Linked DNA regions of Oreochromis niloticus. The protein of the gene in region 2 purifies or fractionates together with the protein of the main gene of each other region. This does not show direct contact. Links are inferred from orthologs where the notes say so. Each region holds a gene or a part of one and is shown on either strand. Other genes may lie near its edges.

Region 1 (7,880 bases), on a different chromosome or scaffold from region 2:
TGCAAGAGCAAGAAGTAAAAGTGCAGAATGTGACTTCTACAGCGAGATCTAAAACTCTTAATTAAATTATTGCCCTATCATAACTGGGACAGAGATCACAAGGTAAACATGACTTTGAATGAAAGCAGGCCATTTCTAAACCTTACACACACTTTCCATTTCATAATTTGTTAGAATTAAACGTCCCTGTGGCTCTCCTTTTACCTGTGTTCAAAATTGCATAAACTCAGTCCTACCTGTGCTATCTCTGAACAACTAGGTGTGCATGCATCAGGTACAAATCATGCACCTTGACTCAATGTGGGCTCAATATGGCATCATCCTGCTTTTCTGGTGCTTTCTTTTGTCATTTTCTTAACCATTTACTGAGTAAATCTTAATTACCAGCACATTTCCTGCTTTGTTATTTTATGCATCTTTTTCTCCCCTTGCTTGTTTTTTCTCTCCTTTATGTTAAGGCTAGCTCAGAGCACAAGCAGACTATTCCTAGACTGTGGAGTGTTGAATAAGTGGGGAGGGGAGGGCACTGTGCTGAGGCAATGCATAAAGAAATGAGAGGAGGGAGCTGCAGCACAGTGAACCTGGGGAACCCAGCAACAGAGAGAAACAGACACACAGAGATGGAGCATTATGCAATTGCCATGCAGGCTGCAGTGCACCCTGTCTGGCCCTGGGGGCCGCAGAAGAGAAAGCAGCAGAGAGACAGACACAGTGAAAGAACAAAACGGAGTGCATCACAATAGATAGAGCCCAGGGAATTCAACCTTAATAAACCCCCACAGCGAGAGTCTTTCTCTGGACTTTCAATGCAGGGTGCAAAGGCCTGTGGAGCCTCCAAAATAACGAGAGCACGTCCATGGTGCAGCTCAATCACAGGTAGGGAGGAACGTGACTTAACAACAACACCACACACAACAGTAACTCAGTACTACATAGCAAAGTGAAGGCTTCATAAAGGCAAACATGCTATTAAAGAAAGATGCGAGTGTGTGTGAAACCACTGAGTCCCTGCTGCTGCTGGGGTCCTCAGACTGACTCACCAGCGAAGAGGATCTAACTGGAGCAAACACTGTCTCTGCTGATTGTCTGAGGACTTGACTGGGAGCCTAATCCACTTTTCAAAAAGACCTCTGCATGTTTGAGCCTCGTTAGTATGTATGCATGTTGTTGTTTACTAATATAATACAAACATGCTGTGTGCTAAAACAACGCAGGGTTGAAACAATCTTCACCTTGTTAACAAAGGTTTTGGTCTGTACAACTGTATTTTCATTAAAATTGAGAAGAATAGAAGTAAAGTGCCAAGAAACATTTGTATATTGTTGTATATTTTGTTTATATTTCGCTGCTGAACCAATGAAGAGCTGCTCATCTCTTTCATTCTTTCTGCAACAGTAAGAATAAATAATAACTTGTTCAATCTAAAGCAATCAGAACCCTGCGGAAAATTCACCATCTTCTTTTGGTCAATATAAATAATCTAATGCTTGTGTGTACTTATATATAAATAAAAAAATATTCGCTAACATTTAAATTAAAACACCCTTAGAATTGCCACAAGTCCTTCTACAAAATAAGCTACTTACAAGTCATACTCTGTCAGATTTTAATTAAATTTGTCAATGCATGTTCTAAAACTGTCATCCTACTAATCTCGGCCTCTGAAGACAGAGTCACACTGTGTGTAGCCATGTGTGTAAAATGCACAGCACGACCCAGGCACTCATTTTAAATACAAGAGTTCATCCAGTAGAGCAAAACAGCAGGTCCTCATGTGTGATTGTGACCCCTGACCCCACATAAAGCTGCCACACACACAGACCAACAACATGGTGACATTAAGGCGCAGTCTCAGGTGTCACATCTACTTGAGGGGAACACTTCTGAGAAGCCCTGCTAGCAAACCTGCTATGCTGCCACTTTTAGAAAGCAGCTCAGCTCTCAGCTGAAAACACGTTACAGGGCTGCTGCATCGCACCACGAACATGCAAGCTCAGTTTCGCTCAGGTGCACATTCCCGTTCTGGTGTCAGTTCAGTCTTTACCTGCAACGGTCCCCAAACGCGCAGTTTCCCTTCTGAAAGAATTTGCAAATCATGCTGGCAGGTTTACTGCTGGTCAGGTCATGGGAATATCGACAGTTCTCCCCTTCTTTGCACAGACCGTGCATGAAATATCTGGAAAAACAAAAGAAAATCAAAGTTTACTTAACACATTAAACAGCGCGTTTCCTTTTAGATCCCAGTATCAACGTTAAAAAGCAGCCTGCCAGTCACTTGGATGTAAGCAAATCAAATGCGTGTCGATGTCATCTTTTACTTTCATACTCATAACGCCATCGCGGTCATGTTTAAGGGACCGCGGCGCTAGCTTGGTCCGGATGTGAACCTAGCAGATGATATGACACCGAAAGGCAACAACTAGTTAAAGCCGCTGGTTTAAACGCCGATTAATTTGTTGGTTTTAATGTGAAACTACTGAGAACTGCTAGCTGAGATTAGCTTCAAAGCTTTCGTCGAGGGGCCGCTGTGTGACACTAGCTTTACAGTTCAGCGTTGCCGATCTGATTGTTGAAAGCGTAGCTAGCAGGACGGCGGCTAAACTAGCACACCAGGCTGCTGTGTGACCACAACACAGCGAACATGACAACATCACAGCTAGCTCCGCGAACAGCTGAGCGGACCCTTGAAAGACATTCCCGTCAGTCACTCACAAGCTGCCCTGGCAGCGTTATTCTGGCGTCAAACGACACGGTGTGCCATCGCCGTCTAAATGTGCTAGTTCTATTGTCTTGTCCTACCTGCAGGTTACGTGTTTTGTCCAACCGCCTGTTACTGCTGAAGCCGCCGTTGACGCTGCTGCTGCCTCCGCCATTGCTGTTTATGTTGAGAAGCTACAGCCGGATGTTCCGGACAGTTTCGCTCGAGCTCGGCATCTTTCGTTTGTGGACAATTTAAGTCGAAGTTTACCGAAAACCCGTCTCCGTGCAGACCGCTGTCCACTACGCGGCACCGTTGGCACACACTGTGAGGAGCAGACCCGCAGTGGGTTAGATGTGCAACCTTCTAAATAATCAGGATCAGTTGAAGCAAGCATCATTTCTATTAATCATGAAGAAGAACCAGGCTCGGAAGGTTCCATCAAATATTTGTGTCTGTCTGATATCATTCAATTTAACAACACAAACGTTTTAGAACACCCCAAGTTTTTTTTTATTGAAAATTATGCAGTTTAATGTCTCATTTTCCTCTGAAATGAAAGCATGGTACAAATACGCAACTGGAGTTAAAAAATAAATCATGAAATCAATTTATGAACCAAAATATCTTCTAAACTTTTGACTCATCAAAGTAGCCCCCTTTGGCAGATACCAGAATCGACACTCCACATCAGTTGGTGGCGCTAATGCACCATTTTGCTGTTTGCCAACCGCCAATAAGCAATATAAAGACGAAGAATCAGCGAAACCTTCTTAGTCCCAGAGGGAAATTTAGTTGTCATTGCAGGAAATACACAAGAAACATCAAGCACTCACATAAAATGAGCGTAGAAACAGAGATATTGATATAGGTATGAATATAAATATAAAAGGACAAATATATGTTGTGGTGTATAAAGTGACAGGGTGCACTGAGGTGTGATTCATTCTGTTCCACATGTGTGGACTGGTGGGAGGGTCATGGTCCATTATCCACAGCAGATCTCACAGCTGAACACGCCCGTGGCATTCCTTCTACAATAGAAATCACCTTTGTCACCGTTCAAGCTTTCATGATCAAAATGCTCACATGTTTTGGTCACAATTAGCTTCACTGAAAACAAAAAAGCTGAAGAACACAAGTTTAGATTTCTTTAAGTTGTCATGGTCATGGCAGAATGTCTTGAGACAACTTCATTTTAAAGCTTTAGTCACTTCCTCCCCAGCTTGCCCACCTGATGCCCGTGTCCCACCCAGCCCTGCCAGGTTGGCCGCCCACAGCCTAAGCAACAAGATAAAAATCAAAGTCTTTACCACTGACTATGTTAGGTTCTTTTTAGCGTCATGAGTTGGTAATGTGTTTATTACCAATATATTTATACCATTAAACAAAGAAATCTAACACAATGAACAGAGTAAGTGGTAAAGCATCACCCGGTTACAAGAATCAGATTCATTCATTCTTACCCTGTCAAACTTTATTCTTCATTTCCCCTTTCTCTACTTCCACTTTCTTGGAATTAGAGAAAAAAGTGTTGTAAAAGTGTTCGGTTACCATTAATGTGCTGTTTGTAAGTTTCCGGGTAATTTTTTTTAAGGTTGCAAGGCTAAGACAAGTGGCATTTTTAGTTGTGTTATTATGCAGTGTTTCTGATAATTACACTTCTGTCGCTGTAGAGAAAAATATATATATTTATATATACAATATATTTGTTTCAGCCTTTTATCCATCCAATGAACAGAGACAGTTTATGTTCAACACCAAACCTCTGCAGGTCGCTGCACAAACACAACAGCTAGCATCAGGTTACAGCCTTAAAACTGCGTATCAGATTCATTTGCCCACACAGTTCCCTCTGTAGACCAACAGGATGTATTCACTGTCATTGACTGTCAGTGGGAAGTTGTGCCTGAACAATTAAGCTCTCAGCCACAAACTACAAATAGCAGAGTTTCTATGGGGCCGTGAGGTGAGACCGCCATAAGAGGAAAACTAAACCCAACCATAATGTGTCAGTGTAAACAACATTACCGAAGAAGAGAGTTTCCTTTTCTCCAACTAGAAAAATCTGGACTAAAATAATCATAACAATCACAAAAATAGAAATCTTTGAAATGTCCATACTGCTAATACAATCATCAACATTTTTGGTTGTTTGAGAAGATTTGATAATGTAGAAAACACAAAATACAGCTGAGGCTGATGGGAACAGCATGAGTCTGCATGCATTTGGCTACAAACCACTTTATAGGGCAAATTAAGGATTTGGCTCAGTTTATTTTTATAGAGTCAATTCAAAACAGTCTTTACCTCGAGACATTTGATACGTGGAGGTGATACGCAGGACTAAAATACTGCTCACGTAAATGCAAAATTTCAATTCAATTCAATTCAATCTTTATTGGCAGACTTCATGTCCATAAAAACAAGACAGAAACACACAACACCCCCCCCCAACACAAGGTATAAACCATTAAATATATATATATATATATATATATATATATATATATATATATATATATATATATACATATATATATATATATATATATATATATATATAAACACCCAGCACGCCCCTGCGGGCGGTTTATCCTTCAAGCTCGGGTCCTCTACCAGAGGCCTGGGAGCTTGAGGGTCCTGCGCAGTATCTTAGCTGTTCCCAGGACTGTGCTCTTCTGGACAGAGATCTCCGATGTTGTTCCCGAGATCTGCTGGAGCCACTCGCCTAGCTTGGGAGCCACCGCACCTAGTGCTCCGATTACCACGGGGACCACCGTTACCTTCACCCTCCACATCCTCTCGAGCTCTTCTCTGAGCCCTTGGTATTTCTCCAGCTTCTCGTGTTCCTTCTTCCTGATATTGCTGTCATTCGGAACCGCTACATCGATCACTACAGCCGTCTTCTTCTGTTTGTCTACCACCACTATGTCCGGTTGGTTAGCCACCACCATTTTGTCCGTCTGCATCTGGAAGTCCCACAGGATCTTAGCTCGGTCATTCTCCATCACCCTTGGGGGCATCTCCCATTTTGACCTCGGGACTTCCAGGTTATACTCGGCACAGATGTTCCTGTACACTATGCCGGCCACTTGGTTATGGCGTTCCATGTATGCCTTGCCTGCTAGCATCTTGCACCCTGCTGTTATGTGCTGGATTGTCTCAGGGGGATCTTTACATAGCCTGCACCTGGGGTCTTGCCTGGTGTGATAGACCCCAGCCTCTATGGATCTTGTGCTCAGAGCTTGTTCTTGTGCTGCCATGATTAGTGCCTCTGTGCTGTCTTTCAGTCCAGCTTTGTCCAGCCACTGGTAGGATTTCTGGATATCAGCCACCTCCTCTATCTGCCGGTGGTACATACCGTGCAGGGGCCTGTCCTTCCATGATGGTTCCTCGCCTTCCTCCTCTTTCTTGGGTTTCTGCTGCCTGAGGTATTCACTGAGCACGCTGTCAGTTGGGGCCATCTTCGTGATGTATTCGTGGATGTTTCTTGTCTCATCCTGGACTGTGGTGCTGACACTCACCAGTCCCCGGCCCCCTTCCTTCCGCTTAGCGTACAGCCTCAGGGTGCTGGACTTGGGGTGAAACCCTCCATGCATGGTAAGGAGCTTTCTTGTCTTTATGTCAGTGGGGGGAAAGCTTGTGGGCCTCGGCAGCAGTAAAGCTAGCCGCTGCTAGTGACAGGGTGAGCTTGTGGGCCCCTGGAAGTGCCTCCTCGTGGTGTGGAGTTTGTGTTTGGTTGTGTTCTTTGTTGTTGCAACCTTTTCCTTTTTCTAAGTGTTATTGGTCAAACGGCGTTGCCGGCTCTTTATGTTAAGATTATTTATAATAAAGACTATTTTATTTACTAAAAGCACCTGTCTGTTGTCCTTTCATTCTGTTCTGGACTCATTTGTTACTGGTCCCCTCACTCGCACGCCTAGACCCCTTCGGGGGGAACGTAACAATGTGGGGGCTCGTCCGGGATACATTCGTCAGGCTTCGCTGGAGGGTCCGAGGGACCGCTTCAGCATTCCGTCTTCACTGGAGGGTCCGAGGGCCGCTTCAGCCATTCGTCTTCGCTGGAGGGTCCAAGGGACCTGTCCAGCCTTCATTCGTCTCCACTGGAGGGTCCGAGGGGCCTGTCCAGCCTTCATTCGTCTCCGCTGGAGGGGTCCAAGGGGCCTGTCCAGCCAACATTCGTCTTCGCTGGAGGGTCCGAGGGGCCTGTCCAGCCTTCGTCCGTCTCCGCTGGAGGGTCCGAGGGACCGCTTCAGCATTCGTCCGTCTTCGCTGGAGGGGTCCAAGGGGCCTGTCCAGCCAACATTCGTCTTCGCTGGAGGGTCCGAGGGACCGCTTCAGCCTTCCGTCTCCACTGGAGGGTCCGGAGGACCGCTTCAGCATTCCGTCTTCGCTGGAGGGTCCAAGGGGCCTGTCCAGCCTTCATCCGTCTCCGCTGGAGGGTCCGAGGGACCGCTTCAGCCTTCATCCGTTTCCGCTGGAGGGTCCGAGGGACCGCTTCAGCCTTCATTCGTTTCAGCTGGAGGGTCCGGAGGACCGCTTCAGCATTCCGTCTTCGCTGGAGGGTCCAAGGGCCTGTCCAGCCTTCGTCCGTCTCCGCTGGAGGATCCGAGGGACCGCTTCAGCATTTGTCTGCCTTCGCTGGAGGGTCCCGAGGGACCGCTTCAGCATTCGTCTCCGCTGGAGGGTCCAAGGGGCCTGTCCAGCATTCATTCGTCTCCGCTGGAGGGTCCAAGGGGCCTGTCCAGCCTTCATTCGTCTCCGCTGGAGGGTCCGAGGGATCGCTTCAGCATTCCGTCATCGCTGGAGGGTCCGAGGGACCGCTTCAGCATTCCGTCGTCGCTGGAGGGTCCGAGGGACCGCTTCAGCATTCCGTCGTCGCTGGAGGGTCCGAGGGACCGCTTCAGCCTTCCGTCTCCGCTGGAGGGTCCAAGGGGCCTGTCCAGCCATCATTCGTCTTCGCTGGAGGGTCCGGAGGACCGCTTCAGCATTCTGTTTCAGCTGGAGGGTCCGAGGGGCCTGTCCAGCCTTCATTCGTCTCCGCTAGAGGGGTCCAAGGGGCCTGTCCAGCCAACATTCGTCTTCGCTGGAGGGTCCGAGGGGCCTGTCCAGCCTTCGTCCGTCTCCGCTGGAGGGTCCGAGGGGCCTGTCCAGCCTTCGTCCGTCTTCGCTGGAGGGT
Region 2 (8,032 bases):
AAAAACATAAATAAATCAGTGTTATGTCAACTGTACCTTGCAGGAAAGGATGTTGCCAAAGGCAGAGAAGGTGTCATACAGGGCTTTGTTGTCAATGGACTTGTCGAGGTTCTTGATAAAAACATTGCCCACACCCGACTTCCTGAGGGAGGGATCTCTTTGGGACCACATGATTCTGATCGGCTTTCCTTTCACCACATCAAAATTCATGGTGTCCAGAGCTCTTTCAGCTGCCGGAGGAAGAGCAGAGAGGTCACAGGAAAGGTCCCTGGTGGTTATTTACACATCAGTCATGCTTCGGTCTGTTATCTGCTGATACCATGCAACAATAATAGCGCAGCCATTTTTAACACGTGCACTATAATAATAAAAGAGAAAAACAGTTTAAATGCTTTAAAACAGGCCGTTAACATGTCCAAAGGGGTGAAGGTACTGCAGCAGACAATGAGGCTGATGAGCTTTCTGCAAGCAGCTGGGAAAAGTGTGGGGGGCAGCTGCAGTGGGCTAGCTTGGAGCACATGTCTCCCTGTTCTGATTAACCACATGCTGCTGAGCCACATGCCACTTAGCAATGCAGCAGGCCTTCATTTAAACACTATCAGAATATCAGCTCATGTGGTTGAGATGAGCAGTATTATGTTTGCATTGACCTTTATTCTGTGATCTGTAGGCCCAGGCAAATGCACACTTTCCCCCCCTCACACATCATGTGGGCACATGCCAAACATCCTTTTGTTCACACACACACACACACGCACACACACGCACGCACACACACACGGCTTTCCAGCTGAAAGTGTCTGGTAAACAAAGCGGAGCTGCCTTGCGTCTGCTGGCATCAGCAGTTTGGTTTGCAATTGTACTTCACAACCTGTGCGCTCAGGGAAGGTGTGCGGTCACTGTCAAAAAACGGGGACTTCGGGAAGGTTCAGAGTTGGAAACTTTATTCAAAAAAGGCCAAAGTGACCTCTGTTGTGCCCTCATATATCAAATGTGTCGTTTAGAAGAGAAAATAGAGCCATCAATGGTCTTGAATTACCCATTATTGTTAACCACTTTTTATTTAAGCATTACGGAGCAGGCACGTTTTGGGCTGCACAGGGGGAAGCTATATTTAGAGAGGGGCCCTGAGAGGTATGTGCTGGCATGGAGTATGAGTAGAGCATTCTCTACCACTGATGGGGAAGAGACAAGTTTAAAAAGAATGCTCAGAAGAGCGACACCCGGGTTTGTGTTTGTTTACAGATACAACTGTGACATTAAGAAATCCAGCAGGGAGCACAGCGAAGCATGAAGACCGCTCTGTTTCATATGAAACACTCTTTACTAACAACTGCTTTGTTATAGGTTTGCATTAGTAGCTGTATTGTTCAGGCACAAAGCTACTGCCCCACAGACACGTGCTCAGGACTCCATTTAAATGTCCAACAGCCAACACCCCCTCCCCCCTGGTGTCTACACTCTTGTAACAAATGGTGTCTTCTAACTTTTGGCTCTTCTCACGTTTGTAACGGAATGATATCCTGGAAGCGAGCCACTTGTAACCTCTCCTTTACTTTGGCTTTTGGTAACTGACTCGAGCGCAGATAAGCTGTGACAGGTGTTTTTTGTTGATAGGACAAACAGTGTCAGCGGGCCCCAAAGAGAACCACAACACCTGCTACCTTTGCTCAGTGCTTTGATACTCCTGCATTGTAACTGGAAACAGTTTTATCACATAAGGTACTTAACAACATTGCTGATACGGTTACATATACGTTCACTTTTGTGTATCATGACAGATTAACAGCTTTAAGTGGTGAGGATATAACACATAACCCAACAGTGTGAGTGAACTAATCCAGCTATTAAAGCTGGGATTAAATTCAAATAGAAACAGGATCAGATTTTTCCATTTGAATCTGCAGTGAATTTACACACAACCAGCAGCACAAACAAGCAACAAGCAGTGCAGCGGGCTCAGCTGTGCTTGTCTCTTTCATGCCTTCAGTGAACATGCCAGCAGAGGGCAATGGGAGTTAGTTTCACTCAACTCATTGGCCCTTTAAATAGGCACAGAAATGGGTCATTTTGGTTTTTAAAAAGGTGTAGGAAAAGACTTCATATACCCAAATCTAGGCCTGTGATTTATGGGGATGGTTTGTTGATTTTGGCCAACTTTTAAGGACAGTTTAAACTCTGCATGTTCTGGGGGCTTGAATTACATTAGAGACACACACAGGCTGCTATATTACCAACCATACTCCAGAACTGGGACGTGCTTATGTAGGTCAAATAACTGATCCAATCTAAAGAACTGCTATGAACAATTCAGACTGCAAAATTAACATTAACCAAATTTATTTGCGTTCATTTCGGGCTCTGTAAACGGTTTCAACAGCAGACTGGAAACGCATTACTACTATGTCAACATTTTCACGCCTTGTGGAGGCAACGTGCTCACACAGCACAGCTATCCCATCCCTGCTTACCGTCAGCCGGCTGTGAGAAGTTCACATAAGCGTATCCCAGGGACCGCCGGGTGATCATGTCTCGGCAGACCCGAATGGAGAGCACCGGTCCGGCTGGGCTGAATTTCTCGTACAGCATAGCCTCCGTGATGTCGGGGTGCAGGTCGCCAACGTAGAGAGAAGCCATCGGATAACTCCCCGTCGCTGTGTTCATATCGCTGATTTCAGAGGATAAACGCAAGGCTTCGTTTTAAAAACGCTAGAAAAATGTCGGTATGGTCTGTAATCCGGATCCAAACTGCGCTTTGGTTTAAAGACGCTGCACAGACAGCTGATCGGGCGTTTTGAAAATGCCAAACCTGGAAAAAGCAGCGCGATAAAGACCGGTGTCTTCTGAAGTGTTTCCTTTAAAAAAGACGACAACTTCGAGTTAAGCCGGAGGCCTGATGTTTATGTTTTTTTAAAATAATATTTTGCTATTTTTTTAAAAGGTTTCTATTTCTTTAAGTAGATCTGCACTTTTTAAGATTTTGTGGATTTTATATTTTTTATATTATTTTTATTTTAAGTTTTTCAGGAACAGTGAGTTGGGCACTCACGGTTGTTTTGTGGCCGGGGAAAGAGACTGCGGGGGGGAAGCATGGGCACTTTATAGAGAGTGACGGTGCGGAGGAAATAGTGGCCAGGGTCAAACTTGGGGTAGAAAAAACACTGAGCATGCGGCGTAAAAGGGAGAGCGCACATGGTACTGTCCCAACTACAGCGCCCAGCTCCCTACAGCGACATCTGGGTGGGAATACAAGCCTTTCACTGTAGCCAGGATGGAGCGTTTTATAAACAGGCTTTAAAAATAAATAAATAAATGTGATGCGCTAATGAGCACCGGTGGCGAAATGTTGTGAATGAGTATGTCTGCCTTATTTAGTCGGCAGTGTCATTTAAAAAAAAAAAAGAGAAAAAGAAAAAAGGATGCGACTTGTATTTCAGGCTTTCGCTGCTATGACGCCAGGTCTCTCTTGGAAATGAGATTTTTACCTGGATAAATAAAGGACTAATAAAAATATAACTTTTATTTAAAAAAGCAAAAGTAATGAGATCAGATTAGTGTACATCAGTTTTATTTATCTCAAGTACAAGTTTAAAGTAAGCCGTGGTTATTCTGCATTCTTCATCCTCCTGAGGAAAAAAAAAAAAAAAAAAGAAGACAATTAAATCAGCCATCTTCACATGCATTAAACAGTCTGCCGGCTAACTGCAAACAAGTCATTTACCACAACAAATTCAAGAAAGTTGATTGCAGCCCCTTTAGTTTCAACTGTTTTCTTTCCACTGGACTTTTCTTCTGCACCACTGCCTCTTCCTCATAACTCAGCGTCTGCAACCCATCAGCAGCTTTGGAAAAGGTGAGTTTGGAGCGTGTTATTGGTGGGATTTCATGTGTTCCTTCAGGCATCACAGCACCATCGGTCAGCATCTGGGGCAGGTCATCACGGTTTGGGTGCTTAATCTCATTCTGCAGCCATTTTTCACTTTGGGATTCCTCTACGGCAGCTGTCTTGTCCAATTCTGCTGGATTTGGCCCTTTAATCAGCATAAGGTACTTTACACTAATCTCAGCTGGCAGAGAAAAGTCAACCGGTTCCTCTTTGCTGTCAAAGTTCCCAGATCTTCCAGACCGGCTTTTTCTTTTCAAGTCCTCTGGAATTGCTGGTTGTGGAGGAATCTTCCACCTGTTAACCATAATTGGCAAATTCATAGTTGATGGAGAAAGACTACTGAAACTTTGACCTTTGATCTCATTGGTTGGATTCAGATGAGGTTCATGATCTGTGGTTGAAGAACGCAGTGTGGGAGTGTCATTCGAGTCAGACTGAGGAGGCACCTGTTCAGGTAGCCAAAGCGTCAGCCTGGTGGCAGGGTCCTGACTCACAACCACTACACCCTCTGGGCCAGCATTGAATTTGCTTCTTGGAATAGAAGCAGCAGAAACTATCACATCAGCAGGATCTGGAAGAGCAGACTGCATGGAGTTTGGGATGTTAGCAGTTTCTTGTTCGGAGACTGAAGGCAGAGGAGTTCTCTCACCATCTTCATCGACAATGACAAAGGGACCAGTGCTGACCATAGCTTTGGCATCTGAAACGACATGCATGCAGCAAGTCAGTTCTAAAGTTTATTTCTGTCTTCCATCACCTTCAGACAGAAAACCAAAACACTCACCACCAGGACGGTTTTTGCCTTTACACCTTGAGCTACAGCACTCACATGCCTCCAAATCACCACTTAGTTCCTCCCATCTGAAAGGAAAGTTTCATTTATAGGACATTTGAAAAAGAAAGAAACAAATACATTATGTGAATATTGATACCTTGATTCAATCACATTGTAGTTGCAGGATTTAGAGCCAGGGGTGACACCTTGGCCTGAGATCAGCACGCTACAGTGGATATACAACTTGTAGAGAAGAGTACACAAGTCAGTTCAGAGCTGCACATCAGTGAAATCAGTTTCGAGAGACTTACCTCAGAAATGAGATAAGACGTGTTCAGAACAAAATTAACCGCATCTGCTGTGTTGGAGGCTACAAACGTCACTATAGTAGTGGAGGAACCCAGTGGGGTTACGCACCTGCAGAAAGCAGTGATATCACAGGCGATTAGAAGGTTAGACATAACAAAAACAGTTGAGGTAAACCCCCAACTGAAAACTTACCCTTTGTTAAATATGACTCTTTGCCTTGGTTTGGCCCGAGGCTCAGGGAACACAGAGACAAAGCAGGACTTGATGAAAACCTGTTGATTTGTTCCGGTTTTAGCCAAAACCTGAAGATTGACAGCCTGGCCTCTTTTGTAGACATTTGACTGTGCTGCGCTCGTCCAGGACGCTGCAGGAAAGAACTGCGTTTACAAATTAAGCTGCAGCTAAAACATGACGTTGGATGAGTTTTATTACTTACGACTCATGGCTTTGATGCTAATGTCATCATTTTCAGGAAGCGTTGTGTCGCTAAACTTTGGCATATTTTTCAACCTGTAAATACATGGACCTACTGTAAGTAGGGTTGGTGACTAGCTGCAGACATTGAAGTAACAGCACACCTTTTTGCAACACAGAACACGTGGACTGCAGAGGGAGTTTTCCACCAGGTGGGAGAAATTCTTCTTAGATTCAAGAACAGGGTGTTGGTGAACACCTCCAAGTCGTCCTCCACCTGTAAGATGGTGCAGTTTTGGTAAAGGCTTCATAAAAAGATGCAGAACTGCAACAGAACTTTATTCTCACCATAGGTGCAGTTCCACATTCATCAAAACCATAAGTGAAGACAAATTCATTTGCAAGCTCTCCATTGCTGAAGCAGCCATTGCCCAGCTGTATTTCCTCTCCAGTCAGTTTGAGACCACCGACACTCTTATCAACCAGCACGGTTAGTGTCGATGCATCACAATACACCTGTACTCTGGGAACATTGAGGAAGGGAGAGAGTCCAGCTAGCCTGTGAAAGTCAGGGCTCCAGGATCGCCAGGAGCTGAAGATTGTGTCTTGCGGAGTAAAATCAAAGTTTCTTCCAAATGAAAAAGGCACTCGATTTTCATAAACTCCCACAAAATCCTGGGTGAATCTGCCATTGTGATACAGAACAGACTGAACAGCAATAAAACAACTAAGAAGCACACAAAGAGATATCTGCATGGTCCCCATCATGAGCCCCAAACTGGACCAACAATTCAGATCATTCTCCTGTGACAAGTGCGTTATTAATAAGGTGCAGCGATAGTGGAGACAGGTGCTGGCAATCAAGCCAATGAAGCTGACTCAAAATGATTCTGTATTCAATGTTAACACCACGGCAGCTGGATGGGACGCATCTAAGATGCTGTTAGTGAAAAATGCAAAATAAAATGAAGCAAAATGTGTATTTTGTTCACATTTGTGGTTGTTCAGAACTTGGTTTTAGAAATCACTCCACTGAAGGCCCAACCAGCTGCTGTTTAAACCTGTTCTTGAGAGCTATTCCATAAAGGCATAAAGACAGGGTGGCTTTATATGGAGACGAGCTAAAAACAGCTTGTTTCAGACAGAGGGACACTGAAGAGCTGCACCAAGATAAGATAACCTTTATTAGTCCCACACATGGGAAATTTGTTAGGGCCCCAGTTTACCAAGGCCCAGTTTAAGATAAATCAGGATTATATGGAACTGTAAATTATGAAAAACTGTTTTAGTAGACTCCAAACACAAAAAATATGGTGCTGGATATAAGAATTATGCCTGTTTGTAAGGTGTTTGTGGGCTTGGTGACAACATGAAAACTTGAAGGTTAAGTTTTCTGGCAGGCCATTCCTCGGCTACAATCTGAACAAACCAAAAGCTGTGAAAACTTGGATAGTTTGGGTTAATCTAATTTCTACAAGTAGACAAAATAACACCAAAAAACTTGCATTTATGTTATAGTATTTTCTTAGGCAACAATCTTCAAAATTATATATTTCTATTAAGTAGATGAAAGACATGTAATTTAACTCTGGCTCTTCTTCTATGTTGAGCAAACCTTGAGATTTAAGTTTTAAGATTACATGTGTTAGATGTGTGTAGTCACACATGGCAGAAAACAAAATCACACTATAATTCTGGAATACTTTCAGGGAATGAAAGGAGCTGAAGGATAGCACAAAAGAGGAAATTGGTTATAAATGATTAAAGAAAGACATAAACAGGAGCACACCACCTTCTGCCTCATCTAGGTGGAGCCATTGTCAAAAAGCTGACTAAAGGAGACTTGGGTGCATGATGCTTGCACCTAAAGGCCAGGCAAGTCATGCATGGCAGGCGCGTAACCCAGATTAACTGAGAACTCATGAGATGGCTGTCAGATAAGGACGTTGTTTGTTACAAGGTAAAAATAATTGCTTGCTATTTTGAATTTAGGGCACTGAATGTGGTTTTTAATTTGAGATTTCTAAATCTCAAATTTAGAAATGTGACTAATTCCCCACTGATGCTGGTTGTGAACAGACGAGTGTCTGCTTTTTGTTTTAACAGCCGATTAATCGATTAAGACCCACTGAATACAGAGCATTTGCCCAACACTTTGTTCTTTTATTTGACACTGGTATTGTTGTGATTGTGCAAAGTAAGGAAATTTTGACATTTGTAACATAGGTCTCTCCCCAGCAATATAAGGCTCGAGCAGGCAAATGCAGTACTGTGCAAAAATCTTGAGCCTCCCTCATTTCTTTACATTTAGCTTCCAAAGAGACATTTTTTTCCACTGGGTTTTCTGGAGGTCTTTCAAAGGTTTTCTTTGAACATTGGCTGCGTTTTCACTCATTTTCAGTCCCGTCCTTGTACCTGACAATTTTTGGAAGAGTGTTTGGTTGTTTTTGTTTTGTGTTTTACATTTGTTAAGACACTTAACACTGACATATGAGTCACTTAATCATTAAAAAGGGATTTAACTCATAGGAACCAGTTTTTTGTCTACACATAACAGACACGTTAGAACAAAAAAACAAAAACAAATTTAAATTGTAACTTTCGGCTCTTTGTCTTAAAGAATTTTACAGATTGTTCCCATTTCTTTA

Evidence for each region.
Region 1: the proteins of pabpc4 (region 2) and mkrn1 purify together in Homo sapiens (affinity purification with mass spectrometry; 3 studies listed by BioGRID and IntAct, with this or other methods). This does not show direct contact. The link is inferred for Oreochromis niloticus from reciprocal best matches to the Homo sapiens genes PABPC4 and MKRN1.

The regions. Positions count from the first base shown.
Region 1 is NC_031981.2:931,518-939,397, forward strand, and holds the start of mkrn1 (putative E3 ubiquitin-protein ligase makorin-1), read right to left. Parts: upstream 3,027-7,880; 5' UTR 2,874-3,026; coding exon 2,800-2,873; intron 2,177-2,799; coding exon 2,045-2,176; intron 1-2,044. UniProt on the Homo sapiens protein: E3 ubiquitin ligase catalyzing the covalent attachment of ubiquitin moieties onto substrate proteins. These substrates include FILIP1, p53/TP53, CDKN1A and TERT.
Region 2 is NC_031983.2:27,564,490-27,572,521, reverse strand, and holds the start of pabpc4 (polyadenylate-binding protein 4), read right to left. Parts: upstream 3,087-8,032; 5' UTR 2,665-3,086; coding exon 2,472-2,664; intron 231-2,471; coding exon 37-230; intron 1-36. Other genes in the region: zpcx (zona pellucida protein C), read right to left, coding at 3,605-3,626, 3,722-4,586, 4,671-4,747, 4,819-4,904, 4,973-5,078, 5,163-5,334, 5,407-5,480, 5,549-5,661 and 1 more.